Chlamydomonas reinhardtii: one gene and its partner. The protein of the gene in region 2 binds, or shares a complex with, the protein of the main gene of each other region. Links are inferred from orthologs where the notes say so. Each region holds a gene or a part of one and is shown on either strand. Other genes may lie near its edges.

The links. Proteins that work in one complex are often made in the same cells at the same time.
Region 1: CHLRE_12g514700v5 (region 2) and CHLRE_11g468700v5 share a complex: the UniProt entries of both Arabidopsis thaliana proteins name them as parts of the SGR1-CCE-LHCII complex. The link is inferred for Chlamydomonas reinhardtii from reciprocal best matches to the Arabidopsis thaliana genes PPH and HCAR.

The regions. Positions count from the first base shown.
Region 1 is NC_057014.1:2,061,621-2,065,741, forward strand, and holds the start of CHLRE_11g468700v5 (uncharacterized protein), read right to left. Parts: upstream 2,806-4,121; 5' UTR 2,714-2,805; coding exon 2,658-2,713; intron 2,504-2,657; coding exon 2,235-2,503; intron 2,052-2,234; coding exon 1,991-2,051; intron 1,524-1,990; coding exon 1,421-1,523; intron 1,115-1,420; coding exon 1,044-1,114; intron 478-1,043; coding exon 429-477; intron 155-428; coding exon 89-154; intron 1-88. Other genes in the region: CHLRE_11g468750v5 (uncharacterized protein), read left to right, coding at 3,020-3,165, 3,514-3,708, 3,979-4,057. UniProt on the Arabidopsis thaliana protein: Probable iron-sulfur flavoprotein that converts 7-hydroxymethyl chlorophyll a to chlorophyll a using ferredoxin as a reducing equivalent. Catalyzes the reduction of a hydroxymethyl group to a methyl group. Belongs to the chlorophyll catabolic enzymes (CCEs).
Region 2 is NC_057015.1:3,711,681-3,715,851, reverse strand, and holds the start of CHLRE_12g514700v5 (uncharacterized protein), read right to left. Parts: upstream 2,801-4,171; 5' UTR 2,635-2,800; intron 2,408-2,634; 5' UTR 2,396-2,407; coding exon 2,355-2,395; intron 2,152-2,354; coding exon 2,112-2,151; intron 1,907-2,111; coding exon 1,789-1,906; intron 1,603-1,788; coding exon 1,455-1,602; intron 1,152-1,454; coding exon 1,074-1,151; intron 800-1,073; coding exon 706-799; intron 550-705; coding exon 521-549; intron 365-520; coding exon 205-364; intron 32-204; coding exon 1-31. Other genes in the region: CHLRE_12g514650v5 (uncharacterized protein), read left to right, coding at 3,144-3,455. UniProt on the Arabidopsis thaliana protein: Alpha/beta hydrolase dephytylating specifically the Mg-free chlorophyll pigment (pheophytin), yielding pheophorbide. No activity on chlorophyll. Belongs to the chlorophyll catabolic enzymes (CCEs).

The sequences.
Region 1 (4,121 bases), on a different chromosome or scaffold from region 2:
GCTCCTCCTCACACACACACCGCCGCCTCCCCCCACCTGCAGCGCCTCCCCCCCACACCACCACATCCTGTCATCCTCACACCCCCACCTGCAGCGCCTCCACGGTGGCCAGCACGTTTAGGTTGGGCGACAGGGTGGGCTTCACACCGCGGGCCTGTGTGGGGTGGTTGGGCAGTTGGGGCGGTTGGGCGGTTGGTCGGATGGTTGGGGCGGCTGGAATGTGGTTAGGGTGGGGTTGGGCGGGTCAGCAGCAGACGGGGCCTGGCGGGGCCTGACGGGTGGCATGCGTCCACGTGGGCCCCCACGCACACATACACGCACGGCATGCCGTACACTCCTCTTCGTGCATCCTGCTAAACGTGTCACACACTTTACTTTATGCTTGCTCAAAAACACGTACACCACGCACAAACATGTACGGCACACACCTTGATGATGTCTTCCACGGTGCGAGCCACCACGGGCTTTGGCGTGAACCTGCGGGAGTGGAGGACAAGCAGGGGGAGAATGGCGCCGGTTGGGCTGGGAGTGGGGCTGTACTGCTGTAGATGCCGTCCCAACCTACAGCAATCCCAATGCAAACGGGCGACGAGGACAGCGTGGCCTATGCTTTGACAACGGAGAGGCTGAAGAAGAAGGTTAAGAGCAGTAGGAGTATGAGTAGGAGTAGGAGTCGAGGCGCTGCCAGGACCAAACGTGTAGAGGGATCACACGGGCTGTTTCGGCTGCTCTCAGCGAGCTCCGGTCGCTGAGCGGAAGGCTCAGCTGCTGAGAGCTTCAGCCCAGTGAAGGGGGCTGCGGGCTCAGCGCGCTGAGTCGCTCGCCCAGCCGGACGAGCGGCCCGCACCCCCCGGGTTAGCCGACGACTTAGCCGGATGAGCGGTGGGGCCCCTCAAGATTGGCCAGGCGTCCTTGATCTCTCTGAAGCTCCACGAGGCGCCACGAAGTCAACCATCGAACAGCCGAATGGCTCGGATCGTCACTCATTCGATCCATTGCCCACTTCGGCACGCCCACACGCCCACCACCGCCTGCGCACCCACCTGTCGTTCTCGTCGCTCTGCACGCACACCACCGCGTCCACCTTGCCGCTCTGGAGCATCTCGATGGCGATCTGCATGGGTAACGGTACGGCAGCGGCAGCAAGTATGTACGGCGGGTACGGGAGCGAGGGGTTGACAAGCGGTTGGCAGTACGGCAGCAGCATCGCAGTAGCAGAGGCGGTGGGGGCGGTTGGTACAGGTAGTTGGGAGCGCGGCCCGCCGAGGCATATCAGTACGACATTGCCCACGCATGACCCCATGCAATACCAAGACCACGGCGCGGACGTTGTTCCCTTAACACCACCCCCATCCCAACCCAGGCACCCACTTATCCACCCATCCAACCAACCCCACCATCTACACCAGCCAACCCCCACTTGAGTCACAATGCCGGTCCACTGCGCTCCCGGCACGCCCGGCACGTTGGCAGCGTAGGCCATGCCGCCCGGGGCCGTGACGCCAAAGTGGAGCTCGTCGTCACTGCGGGGGGGGGGGGTGCGGGAGTATGTGTTGAGTGGCGGCGTTGAGCGTGTTGAAAAGCACAAGGAAAACATTGCACAAAGTCAGTGTATGCGATGCAGCAAAGCGACGGTTTACGAATGTTGCGTGTGTGTGTGTGTGTGTGCGATGGAACTTGTGTTGGGAGCCTGGGGTGATGTGAGGAATGTGAAACGTTGACATTTGCTTGGCGTGGCAACGAGTCCAAGCCAGCATAGGAGCAGCGCCACCGGGCGATGGCGCAGGCATTGCTTCACGGCTAGAGCGTTGCCGCGACACCGCAACACCACACGGCCACGCGCTAGTGCACATGTAGTACTCCTCCGTGTGTGGGAATGCTTGCGACTACCCCGGCTCCCCCACGCTCTCCTCCTCGCTCGTTTGCATTGGGTTTGGGCTGGTGTTTACAACCCCCCCTCCACCCCACCCCACCCCATCTACAGCCCCACCTGTTGACGTCGCGGCGGCGGCCGTGCACGCGCTCCTCCAGCTCATCAATGCGCGACATGCCTGCATGGAGGGATGACCTTGTGTCAAGAGTCGGGGCAGGTGACAGAGTCTGAGAAAACGCAGTACCCCAATTGTCGACACCACCATCTCTCCGCGCCCCCTTCCCCCCAACCCTGCCCGGGTGCCATCCCCTGCCCATTACCTGCTCCCCCCTCCTCAGAACCCCTCCCCTCAGCTCCCTACCCGGCCCCAGGAAGGCACACGCGTCTTTCACGTGCGCCACATAGTACGTGTCGCACAGCCCACAGTTGGAGCAGTGCTCCTTCGCGGGGTAGCTGCTGCCCGGCTGGATTGGCTTGGCGCGCTCGCGCCAGTCGGGTGCTAGCGTGGAAGAGGATGCGGATGAGGAAGCGCCGGAGGAGGAGGAGGAGTTGGCAGGTGTGGCCGAGAGCGGGCGCAGGAGCGGCGCGCGCAGCACAGGGGCACCGCCGGGAGCAGCGGCGAGGCTCGCCCTGCAAGTGCAAGCAGTGTGTGTCGTGATGTCAGAGGTGGGGCATCGCTGGAGCACCGCTCTGCAGCATTGAGTATATTTGGTCAAAGCCTCCTTCTAGAATGCGACATGAACGTCGGGAGCCTCACGCATTGCTCCATGCACGAGGCTTTCACCTGCGCCTCGAGCACCCAGCGACACCCTTCGCCGAGCTGCTGTGAGCACCGAGCATTTGTGCTGGCTTCAGTGCGTGTGCTCTGGTCCGCGAGGCTCAAAGACGACGAGTGAACTGGTCCAGCAAGCCAACTTGTGAGTCCAGCACAGCCTGTGCTTAGCAATGTATGTTTATGCAGTGACTAAGGTAGCGAATTACGGGCATTAGCAGCCTTCCAGTTGCGCAGTTTGCTCGCAAGGCCCGTGGGTCCCTTGGAATGAGCTGGCGCGACCGTGGGCTCTGGCTCGCTTAAGCTGCCTCAATTTGCGTAAGAAACGATTTCCTCTCGCTTTTAGCTGCCCTTATACAGAACAAACCCTTAAAATGCTGCAGGCCCAGAAGCGTGTTGTGTTTGGCCAGGCCCAGCGCCGCAGCGCTGTTGCCGTTGTTCGCACTGCCCCTGTGGCTCGCCGCATGGTCTGCCAGGCGGCCAACTGGAAGGGCGACAGCGAGGAGAAGCTCCAGCCCAAGTGAGTTTCGGGGCAACCTCGCGTTTCTTTCTGTAATGGCTGCTTTGAGCCTCAAAAAATGCTCAAGTGGATGAATTATATTTAAGGGGTGGACGGCCGGGGGCGAAATGCTGTTGTCGAGCTCGGTGCTGCGTTGCAGCCCCTCCCGAGCACAAGTTTGCTTGCACCACGATCTGCGCGACTAGCGAGGCAATGCACCAGCGTCTTGCTTTCACAAATGCATTATGGGCGTGTAGGCTCGGTGTGTGCGCGACGCCGGTGCGCGAGGCCAACCGTGCCTCGCGACATTTCGCTGGCCGATCGCGCATGCCCCGGCAAACAAATGACTCCCCCTCTCCGCCTCGACAGGGAGATTGTGCTCCGCTCCGTGAACGTTATGGTTCTGGGCGCGCTGCTGTCCATCGGCGCGGCCCCTCGCCCGGGCAACCTGGGCATCATCGACTACGGCGCAGGCGTGCAGACCCTGAACCTGTGCCCTCCCTCGCCCAACTGCATTGCCACCTCCGAGGAGGGCAACGACCGCACCCACTATGCCCCTCCCCTGTGAGTGTTCTAACACACGCCATTTCAAGGGCCGGGGGGCATTGCTATAGGGGCAGGGGATTTTGGGAGGACTGGAGCACGGCCAGAGAGAGCGGCAGGCTGGCAGGCACTGTGGCAGAGCAGCGGGAACGGCGGGGGCTGAAGGCTCTGCACGGCTCACAGCACTACCGGTACACCCTGTCGTACCAAGCTCTCGCCTGCGCCTCCACAGGACAGTACGGCAACTTGACCTGACGCACACGCACTGGCGCCCCCCTTCCCCACCCGCAGGACCTACAACCCCGAGGATGGCCGCGGCAAGAAGGGCCCGGCCAGCCAGGAGAAGGCCATGGGCGAGCTGGTGGAGGCGGTGGGTGGCGACGATGTCGGGTTTGGAGGGAAGGGGGAACGTGTGTGTATGACACGCGTGTCGA
Region 2 (4,171 bases):
GGTCCAGCAGCTCGTCGAACGACAGCTCACCCTGGGGAGAGGCAGGCAGGCAGGAGAGTAGTGGCGGGCGGGAGGGAAGTCGGTCTCAGTCGGTCTTGGTCAGTCTTAATCGGTTCTTCTCAATCGATGCTGGGGCAGATGGCAGAACGTCCCCACATCATTCACAGAAAAAGCAAAAGAGGAGGTAGCATGCGGGGCTCTCACCTTGGGGCTGAGCACGATGCTTGTGAATGCGTCCAGTGCGCCCGGGTGCTGTGTGGCCTCCACGATGCGGCTGATGAGCGGCGGGTCGGGCGGGCTCTTGTCGGCGTACACCAGCTGCAGCATGGCGCTGATGGTGGCGGGCGAGCGCAGCGTGTCCCACCTGCAAGCACAGGGAGGTGATGGAGGCGGCGGCGGTTGAGATGCATGCGGCAGGTGTGTTTGCGTGGAGGTGTCAGGTAGGACAGCTGAAGCGCAGCGCAAACAGCGCTGTGTAGATCCATGCGGTGTGCTCAGCGGCTGAACGTCTCGTGCTCACCAGTAGCGCTCAATGACGCTCTTGAGGGACTGCGGGGCAAAGGGGCAGCAGCACAGCGTATCCCTGTCAGCACACGAGGCTGCTGCACGTCACTCCACACCACACGTCGCCCATGCAACTCGCCCGCTGGAGCCTGCCTCTCTCTACCGTACTGCACAGCATCATCGCGGCATGGCAGCACTCACGTGGGGCACGGGCACGGAGCCGTCCACCGCGCGGTCCAGTGCCCGCCACAGCCAGCTGCGCGCCTGGGCCGACGCGCGGGGCGGCCGGAAGGCCCTGCGCAGTCGCATCGCCAGATGTTGTGCTGCGATATCCTGACAGTAAAAGGACTAGCTAGCAGATGAGAGACCATCGTTTCCACCGCACCGCACCACAGCCAGACACCGCGTGTGTGTGTATCAGGAACAGCACAACGCAGAAGGGGGGTCGACGCCGCGAGTGCGTGTGGCGCCAGCACCGATTGCATGGCCCAATGGCTTCAAGGAAGTGCCAGGTGTGGATTCTGTTCTCACCGCACCAGCCCGCGCCGCCATGTGCCCCCGCTGCTCACCAGAAGGGCGTTGCGTTTAGCAGCGTCAGCCCCTTGACCAGGTCGGGCCGCCGAGCGGCCAGCATTACGGCCAGGTAGCTGCAGGCGGGGCAGGGAGAAGGCAGGTTCAGGCATGCCTCTAGGGTTAGGCCATGGCAGCGACGGAACGGGGCCGCGGCCTGTCATCCCAAGCTACAGCAACCGCGACCAGAAGGACCCCTTGGCGAGACTGCGAGCACGCTGTGTGTGAGCGTGCACGCGGGCCAGCAAGAGCTGGGCACTGTGCCCCTGCCGCTCACAAGCATTCCTATACAACCTTCACCGCCCTCCGTTGCCTGTAACCCTCTTGGGTTAGTTTGGCTTTACGGTAAGTAATCCCGCCCCCTCGCAGCGCGTACTCACCCTCCGAGGGAGTTGCCGGCCACGTACGCGGGCTCTCGCACCACCTGCTCCAGGAACGCCTCCAGCTGCCGCGTCCAGGTGTCCACGCTGAAGAACAGCTTGCCCGCGGCGTCCGAGGTCGACACAGGCTGGGCCGGCCAGCTACGGCCTGTGGCGTGTGTGCATACGCGTGTGTGTGTGTGGAGTCAGCAGTACGTTGACCAATGGTTAGCACAGGACTTGGTGATTGTTCGAGTTCAAATTATGCCGACACCCACGGGGCGGACAGAGCAGGGCCGGACACAAGTGCAAGCGATTGTCCAGCACCATATAAAGCACCCCTGTGCGCACTCACCCTGCCCCAATAGGTCCACCGCCCACACGCGGTGGTCGTGCTGCAGGTCCTCCCAGTTGCGGTGGAAATGCCAGCTGCCCACTCCAAAGCCGTGGAGCATCAGAATGGGCGGGCCGGACTGTGCGCGGGGGGGGGGGGGGCGGCAAGTGGTAAATCGCAGGGTGTGGGTAGAGTGCGTTCACCATTGCAATCAGGATTGGGAGGACGAAGGGGCGGGGCCGTCCGTGAAAGATGACGGGAAGGCTGCAGGGATGGTAGTGCCTCATGACTTATGCGACTCAGTATGGTGAGTTCGTGAGTGGAGTTCCCACGCAACCGCGCACCTCTCCCTTCTGGCGGTAGCATATTTGAGAGTTGTACTCCCTGCAGCAGGCGCGACGCGGCGGTTGCCCAGGCGTCAGAGCGTGAAGGCCGCGAAGGCAAGGACCTAAACCCTGACACGAAGATTGTGCCCGCGCTGCAGAAGGCTGCTGGCGTTTGCGATGCACTGCCCCCAGGGGCATCCGGCTCCACGCAGTCAGCCGACCCCGAAAGGGGAGTTGCGCGGTGGGCGCTCATCCGCTTACCAGTCGAAGTACAGCTCCTCGCCCCACTCCCCAGTGGACATGGTGATGGGCCGCTGCACGTGCACGTCACAACGCACGGGGGGCTCAGGTCCTCTGCGCCAGGACTGTGGAGCAGTATTCCGCTTTCCCCTTGAGCTGTCAACCGTCCCCAGATATTGGTCCAAGCCGTGACTAGCTGCATCTGCTCCGCTGACGACACCCAGGAATTGTTAAAGCGACCACGCAACTGCTTATGTCCCAGGCAAGCGCTGTTTCAACGCAGCACTCGGCAGAGACTCACCTCCTCCCTCCCGCTCGTGCTCGTTCCTGCAACATCTGTATGCGCCTGTGTCTGGTTGGAGCTAGCTATTTGCAAGCGTTTTAGGAGAGATCGTGCTTGCAGTGGACGAAGAACTGAGCTGGAGCCGTGTTGCGCCAGTCGCTGGTCACAGCCCCTAGCTGATAGCGCTTGCCTCATGGTTGCATTAATATGGCATTGAATGAAAATACTAAATACCTGAGCAGCGACAGAGATTTTCGTGAGTCCCAAATGTTCCATGCCCATTGGTTTTCTTTACCATCGCCCGCTGCGCGAGTAGCTCAATGCCCAGCCTTATAAGGTGAAAACAAGCTTTACTTCTTACCTTTGACGACGCGTTCAAACGACCTGGTGTTGTGCCGCTTTCTAATAAGCTTTCCACTCGTTAGTTCATGTTGCCAACTTATCAAAACAAGATGTGTTAAATACAGCTCTTCGCGGGGCGATATCCGGTCAGCCCCGCGGTCGCGCATGTCTAGCAAAGTGAGCAAATGAGCCGGCCAACGAGCAGGCAGTCAGAAAGCCGGCCCCAGACGGTTGAGGCCCAGCCTGGTGCGGGGTCTTTGCAGACGGTCCCGTCACCAGCGCGGCAGGCATCGAAAAATGGCAGTCGCCCAGCAACGCGCGAGGCTCCAAACACCGCCAGGGGGGACGGGGAGACCCTGGGCGTCGTACCTTCATGCCCTGGGAGGCTAACGGATGCTTACGACGTCCAGAAACCCGTGGGGAAAGGCGGCTATGCGGTGGTCTACAAGGGCATCCGCCGGGACGACGGTCGCGTGGTGGCCGTGAAGAAGGTCGAGGTGAGCTACTCGCTGGGCGGCCTGGGCGTGTTTTCCATGGAAGACCTCCGACGGGAGGAGAGCGGACCAGGGGGCAGTGTTCCAGGCATAGTGCGCAGCTTCACAGGCGCTGGTTGGGCGCTGGTGTGCCGCTGGGGCCAGGCCGGGTTACGGTTACGGAACGGCAGGCGTGGGCCCCAACAGGCGGTCAATATGATGGCCGCTCGTGCAAGCGTGCCACGGACATAGCCGACAGCCGCTCAGCAGTGACAATCCACGTGCAGCAGCTGCACGGCCACCCGCACCGCTGAGCTGCGGCGGGACGCGGGCAAGGCGCAGTACGGTGGCGGCTGCTGGCCGTGGGCTTGCCTGGGGAAGCCCGCCGCCGCAGCTGGTGGCCCCAGGCGCAGCCGCACAGACGCAGCTGCGGTGGATCTGGGGATGCGCGGGTTGCAGGCGCAGCGGGCCACAAGCCAGTCGGCGAGTCGGCAGCAGCTGGCCGCGCAGCCACTGAGGGCTCCAGCCGACGGGTCTGTACACCGCGGGCCACACAGTCCGGCTGGGGTACTGTGCTGATGGATGGCAGGATGGGACGCAGTGGTCGTGGGCCGGGCCTGTAAACCCCGCCTAGCCGCTGGCAGCGCAAGCTTCCACGCGTTGTTTTGGGTTGAAGTCATCCAGGGCAAGGGCTGCAGAACAAATGTCCGCGGCGTCGGCGACGTCCTTCTGTGCCCATT